Linked DNA regions of Diceros bicornis minor. The protein of the gene in region 1 interacts with the protein of each later gene in a biochemical or structural test. Links are inferred from orthologs where the notes say so. Each region holds a gene or a part of one and is shown in the gene's direction. Other genes may lie near its edges.

Region 1 (11,156 bases):
CAGCTCACCCTCACCCTCTTCTCAGGGGCTGGACACCAAGGAACTTTTCAGATTTCCTCCAAATGTAAAGGAGCCAGAGAGACTTGGGCTTAGGGAGTGAGAAGGCTGGGGGTGATGAGGAGCTGGAATTTATCTCAGACCTGCTTTGCCTACACAGGTGACAATGCCACTTCTGCTTTGTGCACAGGGTACTTTGAAAGGCTGTGTCTTCTCAGAGTTCCAGGAGTGAAACAAAGCATAAGCCCCTTCTGTCTACTATTGTTTGCTGGTGGGGACAGAAAACAGTTGCATCTAACCTCTCTTGTTCTCCTTTTCCAGTCCTTTTCAGTTCTGCTCCAAGCTCAAAAACTATTATATTTTCTGTGTGGAGGGGAAACTCACATGTTCTTCCCAATTCTACAGTTGATGGCATAAACTTTGAGCTTTACGTCTTTCAGGTTCTGTCTCTTGATATTTAAAGGGAAGCTTCTGAAGAAAAAAAATCCCTCTCAAGAACCTGGCTTTAACCATTTAAAAACTGGAACTTTCAAGAACATCTTCTGTGCAATCGATTTTAAAAGGTCTAGTTAAGAGTTCAAAAGCCAAGAATTTGACTGTGATTTTTCTGTATCATCCTTATGCAGAAGGCAGTGCATCTAGAAAGTGCTTGCTGCTGCTTAGTGATGGGGTGTAGATTAGGGGTAAAAGAAATGGAAAATGCAGTCTTTGATATAAAAACATCTAGTTTCATCTATTCACAACAAGGAATCAGCTTCTTCCCCAAGGTCTTTTCTGTCATTCATTAATTTATTGCACAGATATCTATGTGTCTGCTGTGCTGGGGATACAACTGTGAAATGGATGTATTCTCTTCCCTCACGAAGCTCACGCTGTAAGAGGGAACACAACCAATGGCCAGTGATGATCCGGTATGGAGTACGGCTGTCAGAAGGCCCCTGTCCCAGAGTTGGAGCCCAAGGAAGGCTTTCTGGAGGAAGTGACACCTCAATTGAGACCTAGGTGAATGGAAAAGGAAGAGTTTCCAGCCAGAGGGAAAAGCATGTTCAAAATCCCACAAACATTGGAAAAACTCCAACAGGTTCCTTATGTCTAGGACATAGAGTGTCAATGAGGAGTGGTGAGAAATGAGGCTGGTAAGGAGGTAAGCAGGGCGTATAAACTGTTAAGAACTTTGGACTTTATCCCAAAGGCACTGGGGAGCCACTGAAGGGTTTTCAGCAGAGGAGTGATCTGTCAGATTTTTGCATTAAAAAGGCTACTCTAGCTGCAGTGTGATAGATAAGACAGCCCAGGCAGAATGCATAGAATGAGAAAAGGGCCTAGAACAAAACACCACCAACAATAACAGCAACAAAATTAAGTGACAAGCAGAAAACCAACTGACAAAAGACACAAAGGAGGGACCACAAGCGTTGAAAACCAGGAGAGTGTGGCAACCCTAAACCAATGGAAGAAAATTTCAAGAAGATGGGCATAATTAGAGTCAATTGCTGCCAAGAGAAACAGGAAGATAGCAATTGGAAATTGACGCTGTATTTAGCAATAGGATTTTTGACGACCTTGCCGAAAGCTGCTTTAGAGGAGTAGAAGTTGTATTGGATTAAATCAATTGCATCAATGCTCATCTATCCCCTTCACTTACCATCTGTCTCTACACTTTTGTCTTCCAAATGTATATTTTAAGTCCAGACCTCCTCTTTGAGCTCCAAACCCAGACACAATTGACCACTCAATATCTCCACTTGATTGGTTCAAAGGTATCTCAAACCCAGCAGCTTCCAAGACCAACACTCTCCCCACCCAAACCTGGTCTTCCTCCAGTTTGCCTCATCTCAGCAAATGGTAACTCCATTCTTCTAGTTGCCCAGTCCATGACAAACCCTTTTTCCTCACCATCCCCTCTGTATCTAACCCATCACCATCACCACATCTTGTCAATTCTTTCTCCTATATGTTCCTCTGTCTCCACTGTCAACATCCAAGTTCAAGCTACCATCTCCTCTCTCACCTGAACCACAGTAGTAGCCTCTTAACTGGTTTGTTACATCAACTTGCACACTCCTCCAACTTATTCCCCGCACAGCAGCTGGAGTAATCTTTTTAAAAGACAAAGTTGATCACTTCACTTCCTTGCTTTAAATCCTTCAATAGCCTCCCAGGGCTCTAAGGATAAAAACCAAAAAATTTTAAATGACCTAGTAAGCCCTGCATGACCTAGCCCTTGCCTATCTTCCCAGCTAGAATTCACCATACATTCGCTCTTGCCTTCTGTTTTCTCTCCCACTGCCTTTCACCATGCATCCTACAGCATCAGGGCTGGTATCCACATGCTTTGTGTCTCTGTAGCTAAGAACATAGCTCAAATGTCCAACTGTCTTGGTTAAAATCCCAGCTCTACCCCTGCCTGGTTCAATGACCCTGGACAAGGCACTTAATCTCTCAAGGCCTCCATTTCCTCTTCTGTAAAATGGGGCTAATACTTACCTCTTAGAGCTGTTACAGGAATTAAATGAAACAATACGTGTAAAGTGCAAGAAATATAGTCCTCAATTAATGGTAGTAACTGCTGTTGTTATACCCCATTCTCTGCCTGGTTAATGCTTCTCATATCTCTGATCTCAACTCAAATTATCTGAGGGAGGTCTCCCTTGACCCCCCAACTCCCTAACCAGGTTATGACTCTGTTAAACTCTCACATAGTATCCTGAACTTTTCATTCCTTATACTTTCTGATTATCTATCTGAGGGGTTATTTTATTAATGTCTGTCAACCCCACCAGACTGTAAGCTCCAAAGGGATAGAGACAGTGTCCATTTTACTCATCATTAGATCCCCAGGTCCAGCGTGGTGCCTGACACATAAGCCGGATGGTTTTGAATGAATGTTTGATGAATGAGAGGTGAGGAAGTAGAGCCAATGATTTCAAGTGACTCAAGAAGATTGTGATCATAAAGATTATGAGCAAGACATGGAGGAGGATCAGGGTTTCTCACTTATTTTTTAAGCTAGCAGATACTTGAGCATGTTTAAATGCTGATGGGAAGGAGCCAGAAGAGAGGGAGCTCACCAGAAGGAGTGTGAGCCATGAGGCTGCGGGAGGAGATGGCACTTAGGGCAGGAGCCAGAAGAATCAGTCTCAGAAGGAGGGACAGCTCTTCCATGGTATAGGAATGAGAGCTGAGAATTCAGCTACATCTGTAGGTTTGGTGGCTGGAAGTCCTACAAAGACCTTTCTGTGAATCTTGGTAACGTAGGCAGCAAATCTGGATTCTCTGAGAAGCTCAGCATACTTGGGAACATCATTCCATTCACTTTTGTAACTTATGTAAAAAGGAAGCAGACGTTTTCTTCATCATCGACTGTACTGACGCACTACGGAGCAAAATAACAAGTTTCCAAAGCAACTCGGTAACAGAGCTGAGACAAGGGATCTCAGTGTTCTCTTTATTGAGCATGCTTCCTTCCCAAATTGGGAAACAGTACGGTAAAATGATAATATGGTAAAATAATAATGGCTGACACTGGTGGAGTGTTACTATGTGCCAGGCACTGTTCTAGTACTTCACCTGCAATAACTCATTCGGTCCCCACACATTATGATACATTTTAAGATGAGGAAACTGAATTCTTCAGAGGTGAAGGAACTTGCCCAAGGTCAACAGTTAGTAGGTGGCAAAACTAGGTTTTAAACCAAGGAGTCTGACTCCAAAACTGAAGCCTTTATCCACTGGGCTATATTCCCTCTCTAGCAGAGGGGAAAGAACATATTAGGAATCAGAAGTCCTGGTGTCTCTACTATGAACTAACTCTGTGAACTTGGGCATTCACTTAGGTGTCTGAACATCAGTTTGCTCATCGATAAAACGAGAATGATAATGTTTACCTTACGACGATTTTAAAAGGATTATGAAATGTTGAAATGGGAAATCACTATACAAAATATATTATTATTATGCTAATCATAGACTTAATATGCTTGTCTTCTAATTGGATCACAGTCCAATAGGCGGTTGTGGAGACCCTCGGTTCCCATAACCAGTACAGCAGCAGCTAGTTGGCTGTTTCTCATCCTATCAGCTTTAACATCCTTGACCAAGTCTCCTTGGTGTACATACCTTGGTGTCCCCTTTCCCCCTGAACACACTCACTACTACCGCTGGGAACAGTAACAGCTTATGCCCTCACTTTGATTCCGTTGCCTGAAGGAATGACTGTTAAAGAATAAGTAATAAATAGCCTGAATTACAGCTAATGGTGAAGTGTACCCTAGAAGGCCAAGTTCCAGTCTGGTGACAGAATCACTGTTCCAGTTTAGTGATGGAATCAGACTATCAGAGCTAGAAAAGAACTTCTAGGTCATCTTTTAGTGCAACTCCCCACCCCCTCTCCCAACCCATTTCATAGACTAGGAAAACTGAGGCCAGGAAAACTGAGATGACACAACGAGTTAGGAGTGGTAGCAGGACTTTTTTTTTTACCTTGAAAATGTTTTCAAATGGGTTTAACACAAGCGCTTTCACCTTGCCAAAATCATATCTGGAAAGTATTTTCAATTGCTTATATGTTAGTTTCAGTATGCATACCTTTTCAGAAAGGAGCAAAATCCTAAAATTTGATTACCTGTAAATACATAAAACTTTAAGCCCAATAATTCACACAAAGCCCATTCTTCACATTGCCCTTACTTGGCCATTTCAGGCATTTCTCAGGTAAAAAGAGGCCCACATCTTCAAGGGCAGAATAACCTAATGGTTAAATTCAGACTGCTCTGTACAAAGCCCACTCTATTATTACTAGTTCATTTCTGAGCTTAGTTTCCTAGTCTGGAAGAACAGTACCTACCTCTTAGAGCTGGAGTGAGGGGTGCGGGTCATAGGAGATCATGCACTTTTAGCACCCACCTGGCACTCTATAACTTTGTTATTATTTGGGCATAATTCTTTCCTCTCCTAAGCAGATAGCAGTTCACCGTGGTTAATGACCTTAGACCTTAGACCATTCAGACGCTACCAAACCAAGGAGAAACCCAGCTGTGCCAGGCCTAGAAATGTCCACCCCACCCCCACTCCCTCTTAAGGCAGTGAGTAGGCCGGAATTCTCCTGGTTGATAAATGAGAGGAGCTGAGAAGGAGCCGAGAGAGCTGCAGTGATGACTGTTCCGAGAATCTGATCTGCCAGAAGGCGAATCTCCACCACATGTACCATGGAGATGCTCCGGGAAAGAGAGCCGGCCTACCTGCTTGAGGGAGGACGCGAGAGAGAAGGGATGGATGAAAAAAATGATTAAAGGGAGATGGACTGGAGGTGTCCAAAGAGGAAAATTTGAAAAGGAAAACAGAGGCTGGATATTGGGAAACCTTCCGGGCGGTGAGTGCCATTCAAGGAAGGATTTCGCGTCCCGGGGATACAGATTTTGGAGCAAGAGCGGAGTAGGGACAAAGGTGGGGTACGCAAACTGAGAAGACCGAGCCCGGCAAGCTGTGGGGGGTACCCAGATGGCCCGGGGGTGACCCGGGGCCGGCGAGGACCGGAAGGCGGGGTTAGCGGGGGCACCCGCAGGGAAGGTGGGGGGCGGTCGGGAGCCGGTAACGGAGCCACCTCCGCGTTCGCCCCGGGGAAGGTCAGCGACCCCGGGCCGGGGGGCTGTTCGGAGAACCGAGAGGGGCCGCGGTTGCCATGGTGCCGGGCGGGGAGGGGGTGACTCGGGCCCCGCCCCGACCCCCGCGGGGCCGCGGGCTCCAGATGGTCCCGGACCTCCCGCGGGAGCCGGCGGCCTGCGGCAGGGGGAGGCTATTGTCCTCCTTCCGCGGCGCCGCAGTCCCGCCGCTCGCGCCCGCGCGCCGCCACGCGCCCCGCCGCCGCCGGTCCCGCGCGCCCCCCGCGCCGCTCGCGCCCCGTGACAGCGCCCGCCCGCCGCCTGCCGCCCGCCGTGCGCCCGGCCGCCTCCGGGCCACCTGCCGCCGCCCGCAACCGCCCCTCGCGGCGGGGCTGCGGGCGCGGCGACGACCGGTGCGCCCCCGCTCGCCGCGATCCCGCCTGCCGGGCCGGCGCTCCGCACCGAGGTAGGTGCCGGTGCCCGGGCCGCTTTGTCCGGGCCGGCGGGGCGGCGCGCTTTGTGCAGCCGCGTGCGGGCGGCTGGGTCGGGGTCAGGGTCGGGGCCGGGGCCGAGGCCGAACAGTGGAGCCGGGGAGGGAGGATGCGGCGCCTGGCCCTCGCTCCCGCCCGGTCCCGGGGACAGGATGGAGAGAGTCATGTGCCAGCCACCCAGGTACCGGCGTGCCGGCGGTGGGGGGTCGAGGCTTGGGAGACTTGGGCCTTTCCAGAGCTGAGAGAAGAGTCTGGAAGAGTTGGGGCTGACAAACGCGTTAAGGGATCGGGTCGGCTGGGCTCGGAGCGTGTCTGACAGCGCCGGCTGTTCGCGTAGCGGAGGCTCCTCGGCGGACCGACCGGCGCCGGTCCAGGTGCTGAGGACACGCTCGGCGGTCTCTGCCGGGGTCTGCGAGCGCCCGGCTTCCTCTTGGGAGCTTGCTAGGGCTCCCTCTGGAGCCGAGTGGGCTTCTTCTCGCTTCTTTGGTAGCTAGCTCTCCTTTATGCAAATTCACAGTGTGTGTGTGAGGGGCACACGGTTGGCGGTGATGACCAGAACACTGGCAGAGGGAGAACGAAGCCCTTTCGGGTGGTCAGGACCTGGCGGTGTAAGGTGTTTCTGTGGCTGGGATATCCAGAGGGCTTGGAGACCGCCCGGCGCAAGAACTGCCGGCAAGGCCTCCTCCTAGGTTATTCCAACTCCAGCACCTCAGTCGGCATTTACCATCCACTCTGGCTCCGAACGACTTTACTCCATTAGTCCCATGGCATTGCATGCTTGTATGAGATGCACGCTTGCCCCTTTCCTAACCTGCTACATGTTGTCTCCCGTGAGCTGTTTCTCAGCTGCCCTGCTCCCCTCCTGGAGCAGCCACGATTCCAGCGCTGGAAGCTGGTCGGTTCCTGCATGGGCAGGGTATCCACAAACCAGTTTTCCTTGAAGGTGAAGCGGGCAGAGTGAGTTCCAAATACGGGTCTTAGCTTGAGGTGTTGGGCAACCTCTTGACATATTCAGAAGAGCAAAGGATTAGGGAGGAAAAAGCTAATATAGATCTTAGGTTTGTCCCTTAGAGAAACTGATGTAACTCATCAGTTAAACACTTGGGGGAGGGGGTGAGGAAGGGGGTGAAAATTAGTCTGAATAATTCTGCCCTGAGTGGAGGATTCTAAAGGAGAAGATCAAACAAAAATTCAGTCCCACTCTTCAGCCCCGTCCCTAAATTTCTTGGAGGAGAGTTCCTGTGCTTTATCAGGGACACAGCCTTGAGGGAAACGGGTTGGGGTTTTGTTTCTCCTGTGGGTTCTCTGATTGCCCTGAGTGCATCTTTCTTTTTCCTTCCTGGGAGCCCTGAGTTTATTTGTGATTTCTTTTTCCTCTCTCTCTGCCAGTCCACTCATATTTTGAGTCAAATGAGATTTTTACTTTGGCAAAGTCCCCGCTTCTTCTAATCTATTATTCCGCCTGCTGTCATTTGTTCAACTCTGCCTCCCCATAGCGTCTCTAGCCATATCGTCCTCCTTCCACACATCTGTGACTCGCCTGTGCCCGGACATCAGCTCTGTTTATCTCATTAGATCTAGAGCCTGCTCCATCTTCAGTTTCCTCTCTCATCGCCTGAGGCTCTTTGTGGGTCTTGGGGTTTCCGAGGGGAAGTTATATTTGAGTTTAGCCTGGGTTAGAGTCTGAGCAGACCCAGCAGCTAACCTCAGGTCGCTCTCACCCCTGAAACTTTGTGTCTTAGTCCTCATAGCTCCTCTAGCTGATTCTAACTGCTCCTCATCTTTGTGCAATGGTGGCCCTCAAAGTGTGGTCCCCAGACCAGTAGCTTTAGTATCATCTGGGAACAGGTTAGAAATGCAAATTCCCTGGCCCCACCCCAGATCTACTGAATCAGAAACTCTGGGGAGCAGGGCCCAGTGATCTGTGTTTTAATAGCCCTCCAGGTAATTGTGATTCATGCAAATTTGAGAATCACTGATCTTGAACAACACAGCTCAACCCTGAGAGTACTCCAGCTGAGGAGCAGAGGGTCTTCTCTAATCCCATTTTCGTTCTTTCCTTGAGTTTTTCTCTAGCACTAAGAAAGATTAATTTGCTGGCCAAAAAATGAGTTATGGTCTATTTATTCAATATCTCTTTATTGAATACCTATTGTACTGGGCTTGAAAAACCCAAACGGGAGTAAGACACAGCCCTTGTCCTCAACGGGTTAAAAATGGAGCAGGCAGAGAGACACATAAACAACTAACTATAATACGATGTGATAAGTGCATTAATAGCTGCCTGCTGAAGTGCTCTGGGAGCACAGGGGAGGGGATGATCAACTCTCTCCGAGGGAGGTAAAGAATTAATCAGGAACAGGATGTGGCCAGAGGAGGAATTAGGGTACATGACAGGCTCTAGCCCGGGGGATAGTATTTCTAGCTTTACACGCCAGCTAAATCAGAGGAAAAGGGAAGGGGGGCAGACGCCCCTGAGGGTTGGCACGCGGCTGAGCAGAGTCTGCATCCCACAGCGCTTGGGCGTGAAATCTAGCAGGACCCCAAGCTTGCAGCTGGCGGGGGTTGGCCTTATTCTAGCAGGACCAATGTAAGCTCCTTGGGCTTGGCCCCGAGGTCAGTGGCTAAGAATAAGGTGCTGGTGAAACTGTAATCTGGATTAGCTGCTGGCCCGTCCTATTGCCAGAGTTCAGGAATCCACGGAGGAGAGTAAGGTTGATGATTCTCCAGCACAGAGAGAGACAGGGGGTCCTGGGGCTGGGGGGCAGGCTGACTAAGGAAATGTGAGCATGGAGACCCAGATCATAGTGAGGAATGATGTACTGAATGAGAAAAAACTAGAACAGATCTATGTAAAGAAACTCAAATGGGAAACTCCAGGAATCTGGAGATGGCAGCAGGGAACATGGAGAACACAGCATATTGTCCAGAAGGTCAGGAAGCTGCAGAGCCCAAACGCTTGAAAACCAAAACTCAGAGGCCCTGAGAACCACTGCGCTGAATAACACCAGACAGCACTGTTCATGTGCGAGTCTATGGGAATAAACTCCTTGGAGTCCCAACCTGGTGGCCCTGTGGGGCTCTGTGATCTCAAGACACCAGTGCCATTTTGGTTCCTTATCCATGTGATGGCAGGCATCTCTGGAAACTCAGGATGCAAAATATGTATGATTTGGTCAGAGGAGCATTTAAGTGGTTGAATTTTTATTTGGGAGAAGGGGAGGTTCCAGCTCCATACTTTTCTCCCCAAAATTATAGGATCCAAGGAGAGGCTTTAGCAGCCAGACCTCACTGGGATGTCTAGATCCCATGCCTGGGCCCCAGTAGGTCCCTTGGAAGGACCAAGTTTGATCACCAAAAAGAAGGCAAAACAGTACATGTTCAGGTTTTGTGCCGCTTACAGGGGCCCCAGGGACACACAGTAGTTTGGAGACAGGGTCAGACAATCTGTTTCTTTAAGTTTCTGCTCTTTGTGGAGTACAAAGTTAGAAAGCAGGGTTTGAAAACCTCAGAGGCCTTCAGGGGCCAGGCAGGTAACAGAAATATGTGATATGGCTGGGGAGGATACAAAAAGGAATGGTGGGGCTTGCAGAGAAATGGAAAGCATGGGCCCACCTAAGGGAATCCAGAACCAGTTATTTTTAAACAGCGTATCGGCCACACTCCTGGGGGCCAGGTTCAATAGGTTTGTGACTCCTGATAAAAGGAAAATGGTTGTGAAAGCAAAAGGTCAGGGGGCATTGTATCTAGGAGTTCTAGTGGGGAGGTCTATGCAGGGAGAGTATGACTCCATCCCACTGGAAGTGTCCATCCCAGAGCTCAGCGTGAGCATGGCTGCTGGTGAGGAAGCCCTAAGCTGAAGGGTGGAGAGAAAAGGAATTAGAGTTGGTCCTGGGGCTTGAGGTGCTTCCCTGTCCGGTGGCTGAGAGTATTAGGTGACACTAGTTCAGGTCACGCCTCGCCCACAGCGCTCTTTGCTCAGGGTGATTCAACTCTGCCCTAGAATTTATTTTTGTATAAATATTTACAGGGCAAATTCAAAGAATCTGTTGGGGATTAGGGGAAATGATGGATTTCAAATGAGAAAGGAGTCCTGGGCCTAGTGGAATTAAGCTCTCTTTCCTATTATAGGGAATGTAAAGCCCAAATCTGGGAACCTTACACCTTAGCTCCCTCGCATCTCATCAATGCAGAAGAATCCTTGTGCGTGTTTTCTCTCTGGGAGAAAGAGGAGGGGCAGGTGATCCTGACTGTCACAGGGGTCAAGTTCAGCTTCAGGGAACCAGTTAATGACAGAAGCCAAGTTCAGCCTTGGTGTGCCCTCCCTACCCACCCACATCTCACCACCTACCCCTTCTCCCTTCCTCAAAACCACACAGAAGGTTCTCCCTACCCCCTTTCCAGAGCCAGAAACTGCCAAGATCGTAGCACAACCGTAGAAGGTAGTGCTAAGGATTAAAATCTCTTTCATTTGAGGGGTACTAGGAAAATGAGAAATGCAGAATTTGGAGTTCCGATAAAGTTACAGACCCAGCCCCCTCCATTCTCTTGAATGGCTGCTGAATGCTGAATTACATGAGAACTTTGGACAGTAGAGGTGTTTTTTAAAATCCCTAGCAGCTAATCTGAAGCTCATTTGTTAGTTTTGAGAAGGACAGAGTTTGTTTGTGTAACTTAGAGTTGTAACTAGTGTTGGCGAGCCTGCATGGTCCTAACCCCCAGCCTGGGCCCTAGAAGGGGGCAGTGGGTGCTGATCTCTCCCAGGGAGTATGAAGAGCTCCAGGAAGTTTGAGGAACATATAAATGTTCTGGTTAAGAGCTTGTCCCCGAGAATCAGAAAGAACCTCGCTTCAACACCCAGCTTTGCTCCTTCCAGCTGTGTGACCTTGAATGGAGACTTAATTTTGCCAGTGCAGCTTCCTCATCTATGGAATGGGGATGATGATGGACCCTCGCCCCATAGGGGGTTGGGATGAGCTGATGCATGTAAATGGCGAGGACACGTAGCACAGCCGACATTTATCAAGCACCTATTAAGTATTCTCTGTAGCACGGAAAGGAAACCAAG
Region 2 (11,843 bases), on another chromosome or scaffold:
GGCTCCCCATGTTCCTGTACATGCTGACGTAGTCCAAGGGGTCTGGGCCACCCAACCTGCAAAAGACAAAACAAAAGGGTGAGCCTGAAAGCAGACAATGTGAAGCTAAGGGGCTCTGCCTTACAAAGCTAAAGGCCCCATCCTGGAGGAACCTGGGGCAAAAGATAACTAAAGGGAGGCCACACCTCTCTGGGATAAGACCAAGGGATGGGCAGCTGGAGTCTGCCCAATTCCACAAGCACAAGAGGCTCCCTTCTATCCCCAACAGGCAGGCTTCTTTTAGAAATAAAACAGACCAAGTGGTTGCCCCTTTTGCTTCTTTCTGTTTCAAATTACCAATCCCAAATGGGACTGGCAGGGATTATCTCTCCTCCATGGTTCCTGTAAACACACCAAGCATCGAGGCAAGAGGTGCATCAACCAATTGGCCTCTGTTGAAACACCATCCTGAGCATCCCCAATGGGCATTGTTCCAGCTAATTCCTGAAAGACTAGATTGTGCCCTATGTTAAATACAGTTTGTTCTAAACAAACCCAATGCCTCCAGACCCCAGCCCACGCCCCATGGACTAAAGCTAGTCTTTTATCACGCGAGTGACAAAGGCCAAACTTAGGCTAGCTCAGCTCTGCACAGAGAACTGCAGCAGGAGCCAGGCTGAACCCTGCGAGCGCCTGCATCCGGAAGATGATCCCAGGAGACTGCCGCCTCAAAGGTAGAGCTGAAACATTAAATGATTTGGGGCCTCTGTGGACCATGTTAAACTTCCCCCATAATTCCAACAGAGAGGCAGCTGAGGAAGAGATTCAGTCATTATTTCACTCTGAGGATTTAATTCAATAAGGGTTCCCTTTAGTAGAGTAATTAGCGCTCTTTAAAAAATATCCTGCTTTTCTTCAGAATGGATAGGGAAACTTGGTAGATTTGAGAAACAGACTAAATGGAAACCATCAGTGGAGGGAAGTCTGCATTTAGCCCACAAACACTCTGCATTTGAGATGCCTTGGCCACATGACTGTTCCACAGACTGTAAAAACTTTGCCTGCCACTGGGACATTGATGGAGTGTGCTTTGCAATTGGGATCGTATGCTGAAAAGACGTTAACAATCAAATAAAAGACATGTTACATGTGATCCCAGCAAGCATGACAGTACCATGCAATTTAAACACTATTTAAAACCAGTAGGTCTGGTTTCATCCTCTTTTGCCAGAATATTATTTGCCTTTGTAGAAATCCTTATTCTCTGCTAGGAAACGCTAAGTTATTTATAGAACTTGTAAGAAAGTCACTACAAATAGCTTAGAATCTCAACAGAGTGGATTAGGAAAAGGGGCAAATCTCCATGTCTTTCCTTAACTCTGATTTTGCCAAATCATTTGACTAATTCCACAACCAGTTAGATTTAGAAAAGTTTGTCAGGGGAAAGAGGCAAGAAAAGGGAAGCTCTCCCAGGAAGGACCCCATGAAACTGCAGAACTCTGGAAAAGATGGGAGTGACTGCAGGCTTCATATCCGCTCCAGCTTCCTGCTGCATATTCTCAGTCTTGCCCCTCCCTCAGCTGAGGTCCATCCAGCAACAAGTGGCAAAACTATGTCCACTCTTCCATGCTCCATCTGTGACCTCACTGCAGCTCTCTTTCTGGCCAAGTCTCCCAGGAGGTATTGCATCAAGGAGAGAGGCTTTACCTTAAAACCCCACTGCAAAGAATGACCAAGAGTCAGACAAAATTAAGCTAGTCCCCAAGCACAGACTGTAATATTCTACTTACTCAGAGACCTGACGGGAAGCAGACGAGTATACAGAAAATAATCATATTTTGCACTTAGAGAAAGATGTTATTCAAGGACCCAGAGCATCCCTCAACTTAATTCCTACAACACTTAACTCTGCAGGGCAGGTACAGGACTGGAGTGGCCCCAGAGCACAGGCTCTGCCTCTCTGCTTCTGCTCCCTGCTCACTAAAGTCTCCGCTTTCAGCCAGGATGTCCCTGCTGGCCAAGGACCACTAGCCAAAGAGCCACCCTTCTGTTGCAAGAAAAGGAATCCCAAGGTAACCTGGCCCACAGCCAGACCCAGGCAGCCTCAGTCTGTCATCCTGCCATGAGAACTGAAGAGGCCTTGTGGGACTCCAAATGTGAGGGATATCAATGAATTAATTTCAGGATCTTAATTACGCAACCCCCTTTGAATCTTAGAAAGAATCATTTGCTGAGCTGTCCCCTCTTACGTTTTTCTTCATCTAGGCAGCATTTCTAATTTCACAATCCTTTTTAGTCATCATTACATGCTGGCCCATCTCTGGCCTTCATCATTCACCGAGTCTAGACCATTAACAAGTTTGCAGCAAGAAGAAGAAAAAAAGTTGCCCAAACCAGTCTTAGTCCTTTGCACATGCTTCAATACCTTTTACACACAACTCTATCCTTCATGGCCAGTTGGGTGACATAAAAACAGTTGCCCAAGTCCGTGTAGGGATTTCTCCCTACACTCAAATGCGGCCTGAAAAAACAGTATGGCAGAGGCAGGCCCACTTTTCTCATGACACAATCCAACAGAGTTCATCACAATACATATTTAAATATAGAGGTGCAATTAGAATGGGTGATTAAGTTATCAAGAGCTGCTTTTCACTCAGAAGCTCTCTTCAAAAACTCCTCTCAACCAAAGAACAGTGTGCTTGCCAGAAAGAACTGTACCACTGGCCACACCTCCTCCGGCTACCAGACAGAGACAGGCTGCTCCTCGTGGCCCTCCCTAAGCAGCAGGTGGCTGGTCCTCAGGCCCTCCACACTGTCAGCCTCTTCACATCCTCCCATCGACACAGGGAGCTGGCCTCAGCCCTATCCAGCCTAGCTTCTGCCATCTCTGGAGGAAGTAAGAGGTTGTCATGTAGGAGAAAGACTCAGTCTTAAAGGGAAAGGTAATCAGCAAAGACATCCCCTTCATTCACTTCTACCTTGAGTCTACCTACCCCCTCTGCCACAGGCCAAGCAGATACCTGAAAAGTCTTCCAGGATTCAACAAAGGGACCATCTAATACAATGCTTGCATGAATGTGGTTCTGGACAGATTCAACCAATTCTTGTCAACTTTTGGTCCAGAAAGACCATGAAGACAGGCTCTTTTCCAGAGTCCCCACAACACCTGTTTTGCCCAGAGGCTGCAGGAAGAGACAGGTTGCAAACAGGAATGAGAAACTAGAAAAGACCATTCCTACCCCAAGGGCAGCCCATCTGTAAACAGGTCTAATCCTTAACAGAGCTACTTGAGGGTTACTCTCAGCTTCCCTGAGACACTGCTGCCTAAATCCTAAAGTTCGTGGCCAGGAAGTTCCTCTTAACATCACACTGCACTTCTTTCCTCTTTGTCTAACTCCCAGGTCTTCATCATTTACCGAGGTCTCCTTCAATCCTGACCCAAATCATGGATCTCCCTGACCCTGCCTGCCTCTGTTCTAGCCAATGACCTAAAGCAAAGCAGCTGCAGAGCCAGAGGAAGCTCTGCATGGAGAAAGAGAACTGTGCAGAGTAAGCAGAAAGTTTATCAGGAAAAGTTGCCCGGTGAAACTTCAAACGCAAAAGCATTGCACTGATATGATGTCTGAGCTCACTGGGAAGTATCAAAACGAGACCTCCTCCTCATCTCTTCACAAGCACGACGCTCACAGCTTGCTCCCCTCCTAACCCACAGGAGAGCCCGGGTCCCCAGACCGGCCCCAACCCTATGCTGTCTCGTGCCCTTTGAGCTCCTCCAGCCCGGCTCCTCCAAAGCTCTCTCATATGCTCCCCAGGCCCCGCCTCGCCTCCCTCATCCCGCTTCGGCCGCCCCTCCTTGGCTTCCCCTCGCCCACTAATGACCCCCTACAGGCGCCCCCTCCTTTCACCACGTTTACAGTTCCCTCTCTCCTACCGTTCCCCTCTCAGCTCCTACACACACCCCCAATTCACTTTATTCTCCTAATCTCAGTTAACCCTTCAGCCTTCCCTCCTTCGTTAACCCTTCGCTACCCACAGGCTCCGTTAACCCCTTTGTCCCCATTCGCAATTTGAGCCTTAACTCCTTCCCTCGCAGCAGGAAGCCCTCCTTCCAGTGCTTTAACCATTCTCTGTCTCCTCCTCCAACCTTGCAAATTACTTCGCCCCCGGCGCTTTAACCCTGCCCAGCCCGCCCCTGTCCGTCTCCCCGCGGCCCAGGGCATACCAGTACTTGACGATAGCGGTAACCTGGAGCGGGTTTGGCTGGTCAGGGTAAAGGCGGCGGCACTCTCCGTAGATGGCGTGCAGTCCCGGGGGGAAGAGCGAGGCGAAGGCCGGGGGGGCAGTAGGGCCAGGGGCCGGGGGCGCGGTGGGGCCGGGGGCGCCACTAGGCCGCAGCTCCGCCATCGGGGCGTGTAGGACGCTGGGGAAGCCAGGGAAGGCGGACGAGGCGAGAGCACTGACGCGCCAGCGGCGGACTCCGTGGGTGCGACTCCCCGAGGCGACGGGGGCTGCAGCGAGGTGTAGGCTTCGCGCCTGCGCACGGCGCACCGTCCGCCCTGGCAGTCGCCGCCGCAGAGACCGCCAGAGGGTGCCTCGGCGGCCGCGGGGCGCTCAAGGGGGCGGGGCGCCGGCGCGCCCTATCCCAGCATCCATTGGCTAGTGTCTGTGCCAGTCACAGGTAGGGAAGGCGTGACTTGACCATAGGTCCCGCCTCCCTCTGCCTGCGTTTGGGGTGTCCCAAGGCTCTTGGCCTCCCCCTAGTGTTAGGAGGAACCTAGACTTAAATAGAGATGTTGCGGCATGCTTCTGAGGTGCTAGGGTCTCACGAAAGCCGTGGAAAGTGCACCGACGAAAGGCTTCTCACTGTTTTGCTGACACGCTGCTAACAAGGATTTAAATATAAATCTGACAATAGATTGATTCATTCGTCCGTGTGGCATTAGTTTTATTTTATTATTATTATTTTTTTTTGTGAGGAAGATCAGCCCTGAGCTAACATCCATGCTAATCCTTCTCTTTTTGCTGAGGAATACCAGCTCTGAGCTAACATCTATTGCCAATCCTCCTCTTTCCCCCCCCCCCAAAGCCCCAGTAGATAGTTGTATGTCATAGTTGCACATCCTTCTAGTTGCTGTATGTGGGACGCCGCCTCAGCATGGCCGGAGAAGCGGTGCGTCCCTGCGCGCCCGGGATCCGAACCGGGGCCGCCAGTAGCGGAGCATGCACACTTAACCGCTAAGCCACGGGGCCAGCCCCTGGCATTAGTTTTAATAGATAACAAATCTGAACGTTACCTACCGTCTTTGAATGTCCATTGACTATATCGACTGACACTAACACCGCCAAATTCAGGGGTCATATTTTGAAATACCTATTTTGGAATTCTGTCAGAAAGTAACAAGAGTTAGGTAAACTAGGATCGATTAAAAAGACTTGGTAATTATTTAAAAAATGCTTTTAGTGAAGATGACAATCTCTTTTTTCTTCTGTTTTAGGCAGATGTCTGCAGATTACTTTGAGGAACATCATTATCTACTGTGGCCTGCCCTTCCCCATTACCTTGGCTCTCTGTAACTGGAAAAAAAGTTAATTTCGAAGGCACTGAGTTGGGAATTACTTTCCTGTTTACAATAACTTTTCATATAGTAATGTCTTCCACTCAATGATCTGGAAATTCCAAGAGAAAGGGATAGAAGGGAGTCCTGCTTACCAGTACTATTAACTAAAAGATCCCTGCAGCTTGAAGGCGGGGAGGAAATAATCTAGAGAAGAATGCACTGGGCTCATTTGAAAGCAGTGACACATAACCTCTCTTCACCTCCATTTTCTCGCTCATCAATGTAAATTCTAGCTCCCCACGAAAATTAAAGAGATAGAGCAGTTTCTGAAGTTATTAGATGAACGATGTTTTAATAGCCAAAAAATCATCTATACCAGTAGCTTCAAATGCCAGTCTTCGGACCAATGTTAGCCTGTTGCAAAGTTCACACCTACCCAGGAAAAACGCGAAAAGCAACAAAAATGTACCGTTTTTTCTAAAAAGCAAATTTTATGCAATTTAAATTATTTTCTTTTGTTCTGGCAATATGTCCTTTCCCGTGTGTGTGTATTAAAATTTCCTTTAGTCGAGTGTGATGGCGATAGATTTTTATTAATGTCTTATAGACCCAAATAAAAACATGGCAATCTTATATCGTCCAGGGGAAGTGGTGGGGAGTGGCAGGAGGGATCTGTAAAATCCAAATATGCACGAATTACTGACCAATCCAAACCGAACTACAGACAAGTACTCAAGAAGACTACTTTCATACAACTTTACATATTTCAGCATGCACTGCTAATCCCTTCAAGCGGATTACAGATCCAAGCAAGCAATACCCCCATCAATCGGCATCCCTGTCTATTATCAATGGAGACTACAAAGCCCAGGGTACTGTGCGTCAGAAACGCGACGCCCCGTCTCTTAAAGCAGGCGGGGCTCCGAAGTTGCCTGGCTCGCTAACCCTGGTGCAAGGCATGCTGGGCTTGTAGTTCTTCGGAGGCGAGGTCGGGCCGCTCCCTGCCGCCCTCTACCACCGGCTAGACTGCGCATGCGTGTCAGTGGCGTTAGCAGCGGACCCGGCTGGCAGTTCCTTCCTCGGAAGGAAAGATTCCTCTGCCATGGAGTCCTACGATGTGATCGCCAACCAACCCGTCGTGATCGACAACGTGAGTTGCGTCTTTCCTATCTCTAAAGGGACGTATGCTCTCCTTCCCGAAGGGATTGCTTCCCGGGTTTCAGCCCGGGCCGCCGGCTCTTTGTCACTGGCCCGGCCTGTCAGGCGGGTTCAGCCGCCGCCGCCTCCATCCACCCCACCCCCACCCCCCAGTCCGCAGGCAGGGCGGCCGGCCAGCAACCGTGGGATGGAGAACTTGGGGATGGATAGAGGGAAGAGCTGTAGTGCGGGCCGGGTTCTTGGGCCGTTGGCTTGAGGGGCCTTAACCGATGTGAGCGCCCGGCGCCCATCCCCTCCCCGGTTTCCGATAACTCTATTGGCTGCTCTGGCTGTCCATCTTGACTGATGACCCCGCCTCTGGGCCTTGCCGGATAAGGGCAGCCCTCTGCAGTGATTGGCTCGCGCCCCTGCCATTTTTCCGGGCCGCCATAGTGTGTCCCCTCTCTAAGGGGCGGGGCGATGCACGAGGGTTGTGAGGATTGGTTTCGGGATCGCCCGGTGTAGGGGCCTGACGGGCTAGGGCCTGCCCGCGGGTAGAGAAGGGGTAAGTTTCCCTCTGTCTGCAGCTGGCCGGAGGCTTGGCGGTGTATCTGGGTGGGGCCCGAGAATCTGGTGCGAAAAATAGCCATAAGATTTCAGTTATTTCTGTGATTATAAATTATAACGTGAATAAAGGTCGAGAAGAAAGGAGAGTGACAAAGCAAGCAGGGTGATACCTTCGTCTTCGGAACGCCTAATTGCTGGGGAAAAAAATTACCAAACATAACATTTGCCAGGCGCTCTAGCGCTGACGTGGGTGGGGGGAGTGCACATCCATTCGAGTGGATCCTCACAAAAACTGGGTGAATGGTTAAGGCAGGACGTTTCATCCTCGTTTTACAAATGACAAAACTGAAGCGCGAAGAAGTCTAGTGAGCCCAGGGTCGCACAGTAGAGGTGCCCTAAATCCAGTGCTTTATCCGTTAGCATCAATAGTGACAAATGGAAAGAATCTAAATACTGCTCTTATTTGGGGCGGAGGGGGACAATTGTAAAACAACTGTTTTACGTTTCTGTCTTCCACTCAAATGTTTGGTCCCACCGAGATTGGTTGATACCTTTTCTGTGCCTCTTCTAAATGGCTCCATGGAGGCAAAACTGCCTATTCCCTGTCCGGAGCTGACTGTCAGATGCCCTCTGTTGACCCAGCCCTTGGGACATCTTAGGCATGTTACAAGGTTGTTTCATTTGCATCACCTCATTTAAGCGTCCGGTAGGTAGATAGGAATTACTACCCCCAGTTTATGCAGGAAAGTGAAGCTTGGAGAGGTTTAAATAACAGTATTCAAACTACCTGGTTTATGAGTTGAAGAGCCAAGACTTAAATTGAGATTGAGTTCCAAGGTCCTCACTTTTTCCAAGGAAAGGTGCTTTTTTTGTTGTTAGCTTTCCTTCTCTCCAGGGGTATGAGGTTGAGCTCAGTGACACACCTCATTTTGGGGAGGACTTTTTTTGTCTCTCTCACTAGACTATTAAATCTTTGTGGGAAAAGATAGTATTCCTTCGTTTTTCATTACTCTCGTCTTCACCTCACTCTACACACACACTACCTAGGTCCTGGCACCACTATGTGCTCAATAAATGTTTTTTCATTGGATTGATGGGTGAGTGGATGAATGATTGAATAGCTTTATCACATTAACAAAGAAGTCCCTAAATAAAGAGAGGTTGGGGGTGGGGCGGAGGACCCTAGTTTGTTATGGCAGAGGGTTAGGTATAACTGCTGGATCTTGATGTTGAATTTCAGAGAACACCACTATCTCTGTCTTCAACCAGTTTGTGTGTGCTTCATCTGCCTTTTTTGTTTTAAAAAGAAAATACAAATAGAAATTAGCCATTTCCTGTTTTCATCAGCAGTGCAGAAGGAACGGTCTGTCCATCCCACCAGATCCTCTGCTTCTTGAATTGTTTGGAAGGAGTAGTTCCATCTCCAGCCATTTTCTTTAATGTCACTTAAGCAAATGCTTCTTAGTCTCTCCTTCCTCTCTCTTGGTAGTGTATTTTGAAATGCATCAAATCAGTGGTGAATTTTCAGTTTTAAAATTTAAAGAATTGACTTGTTTTTTCTCTGGGACAACATTTTCTTTTTTTTTTTGTGAGGAAGATCAGCCTTGAGCTAACATCCATGCCAATCCTCCTCTTTTTGCTGAGGAAGACCGGCTCTGAACTACCATCTATTGCCAGTCCTCCTCCTTTTTTTCCCCAAAGCCCCAGTAGATAGTTGTATGTCATAGTTGCACATCCCTCTAGTTGCTGTATGTGGGACGCCACCTCAGCATGGCCGGACAAGCGGTGCGACGGTGCGCGCCCGGGATCCAAACCCGGGCTGCCAGTAGCAGAGCTCGCACACTTAACTGCTAAGCCACGGGGGCCGGCCCCTGGGACAACATTTTCTTTATTATGCCAATAATTCTGCCAAAAGGTAAAGTAGGAGAAACTTAAGTAATTTTCCCATTAGGATTTACTGAGCATCTGCCACATTTTTAGATTTCAGGCCTCAAGTAGTTCTTGCTGTTTGACATTTATAAAGTTTTGTTTTGTTTCAAAGTGAAAAAGGGATAGGAAAAATCATTTGAAATATTTGAGCCAACTTTATATTATAAGAATAATATGTCTCTACCAGATTTAACAGCTCCATAGCTTAACATGTTGCTACAATTTTATTTTCTGGGCTAAGGAGACTGTAATTAAAAGAAAGGAGAACAAAGAAAGCAAAGAAAAGAGGGAAGAGCCCCAATATCAGTCCACTGCCTTTCCCAATCTTCAGACAGTTGTTGACCATTCCTTTCATCCTGTTCTGGCACCAAACCAATTCTCAGAATTTAATGAGGAAAATGGAGGGGTGTCTGTGCGCGCTTTAATGACAACAATAAAGTGATAGGTATTTTTAAAAACTAAACATAAGTCATTCTTCCCAAAGGCATATCATAGATAGTAATACAAGAAGAGGGCAGCTCCTAAGCCACATTTTGCAGACTATAACACTTTGATCAGAATACTGTGTTTATTCTGAAGCTCAAATCTTTGCTAAGATCCCAAAGCCTAAGTTCTGTCCTAAAATGGATCAATATTCTGGTCAATCTTAAAACTGTCTTTGTGACTATGTGGGCCTAAATACAGAAACAGTATTAGATCTTTACAAGTTCATCAATAAGCTAAGAGTTTCACTCTTTTGGGGGGATGTTATGCTGCTTTAGCCCCCTTTTTAAAAAACGAGATACTTTAAATATACAGAAAAGTTCAGAAAACTATATAATAAGCACCCACGTAGCACGTGTCTACCACCCAGATTTATTTGTTTTGTTTTTGTGAGAAAGATCAGCCCTGAGCTAACATCCATGCCAATCCTCCTCTTTTTGCTGAGGAAGACTGGCCCTGAGCTAACATCCCTGCCCATCTTCCTCCACTTTATGTGGGACGCCGCCACAGCATGGCCTGACAAGCAGTGCTTCAGCGCGCCAGGGATCCAAACCCGGGCTGCCAGCAGCGGAGTGCGCGCACTTAACAGCTACACCACGAGGCCAGCCCCCACCCAGATTTAATAAATGTTGACATTTGCCATATTTGCTTCAGATTTTTTGCCGGGGGGAATAAAGCATTACAGATATAAACGAAGCCTCTTTGTACCTCTCTACAATCTCGTCCTTTCATTCTGTTCCGGAAGTAATCCCAGAAGCAAACCATCATCATGAAATTGATGTGCTCCTTTCCATCCATGATTTTATGGACATACATATTTTAGTGTGTGTGTGTGTGCGCGCACGCGCGGGCGCCCGCGCGCGCAGTATTGGTGTTTCGAATTTTTACTTAAGTGCTATCATCTTATTCACTAGCTCTTATTCTTTTTATTAGAGAAAATTTCAAATATAAATAACAGGAGAGGGAATAGTATAACAAACATCCACATATCCGTCACCTACCTGTAGCAGTTATCAGCTCCTGTCCAATCTTTTTAACCACATTCCCACCCACTTCCTGCTGCCACACTCTTTTAAAAACATAATCAACATACTATTATCAAAACCTAATATAATTAACAATAATTTTTTTTGTGTGTGTGTGAGGAAGATTAGCCCTGAGCTAACATCTGCCAATCCTCCTCTTTTTGCTGAGGAAGACTGGCCCTGGGCTAACATCCACTCCCATCTTCTTCCGCTTTATATGCGTCGCCGCCACAGCATGGCCTGACAAGCAGTGCGTCGGTGCAAGAGCGCACGCACTTAACCGCTTGTGCCACCAGGTCGGCCCCCAGTAATTCTTTAATATCATCAAATATCCAGTCAATATTCCAATTTTATTAATTGTCTCAATTTTTTTTTCACAGTTTGCAGCTCTTATAATCTGCTGATTCACTTAAGTTTAAGGGACACTAGAATTAACCGAGGAGATGAAGTCAATATATTTAACACTGTCACTTGCAATGTGATGTTCAGGCTATTTGTACAACTTCAGCAAGAATCCATTCCTAGCTTGATGGAAAGGGTGAAGAGGAGGTGACTTGTAGAGAGAGCTCACTATTCAATTATGTGTATTTTGAGAGCCAAGGATGTGCATCACACCAAGCTAGGTGCCCTGAGGGTAAGAAAGAAACCAGATGTCATGTGGAAGGAGAAACATCTTGAATTAGTTGCTGGGAATTAGAGGGAGGAAGAGGGTAGCCTTAAAGACAGTGTGAGGAATCTGGAAGCTGCATTAAGCATGCCTGACCAAAGGGCCAACTGCTTTTCATTTCCAGCCAGCTGTCCCCATACAAGAATGCAGACCCAGTGTTGCCAGATCTTCTGATTTTTCAAGAGGAATCAGAATTATTAAATGAGTAAATTGTATGGCATATGAATTTTATCTCAATAAAGCTGTTTTTTAAAAAGTACTTTGTGGGCCAAACAAAATATGTCTTTGGGCCAAAATGGGCCACCAGTGTCCTAGACTCTGAGGCTCCACCTCTCAGCTTCCTTTTCCCACTTGTAAAATGGGAGATAACTAGCCTCCTTCCCAGAATGTAAAGAACAATCAAGAGTGCTTAGGATAAAGGTTTCCTAAGCCACAAGGCCGATAGCCAGCAGGTACTGGGAGAGTCTTACGGAGAGATTTGCTATTTGTTTGCCTGCA

The links.
Region 2: the proteins of SPTBN2 (region 1) and ACTR1A form a complex in vitro, tested with the Homo sapiens proteins (2 studies listed by BioGRID). The link is inferred for Diceros bicornis minor from reciprocal best matches to the Homo sapiens genes SPTBN2 and ACTR1A.

What each region holds. Positions count from the first base shown.
Region 1 is NC_080770.1:6,658,211-6,669,366, forward strand, and holds the start of SPTBN2 (spectrin beta chain, non-erythrocytic 2), read left to right. Parts: upstream 1-6,248; 5' UTR 6,249-6,252; coding exon 6,253-6,269; intron 6,270-11,156. UniProt on the Homo sapiens protein: Probably plays an important role in neuronal membrane skeleton.
Region 2 is NC_080745.1:67,456,596-67,468,438, reverse strand, and holds the start of ACTR1A (alpha-centractin), read left to right. Parts: upstream 1-6,572; 5' UTR 6,573-6,639; coding exon 6,640-6,687; intron 6,688-11,843. Other genes in the region: SUFU (suppressor of fused homolog), read right to left, coding at 1-56, 4,202-4,383. UniProt on the Homo sapiens protein: Part of the ACTR1A/ACTB filament around which the dynactin complex is built. The dynactin multiprotein complex activates the molecular motor dynein for ultra-processive transport along microtubules.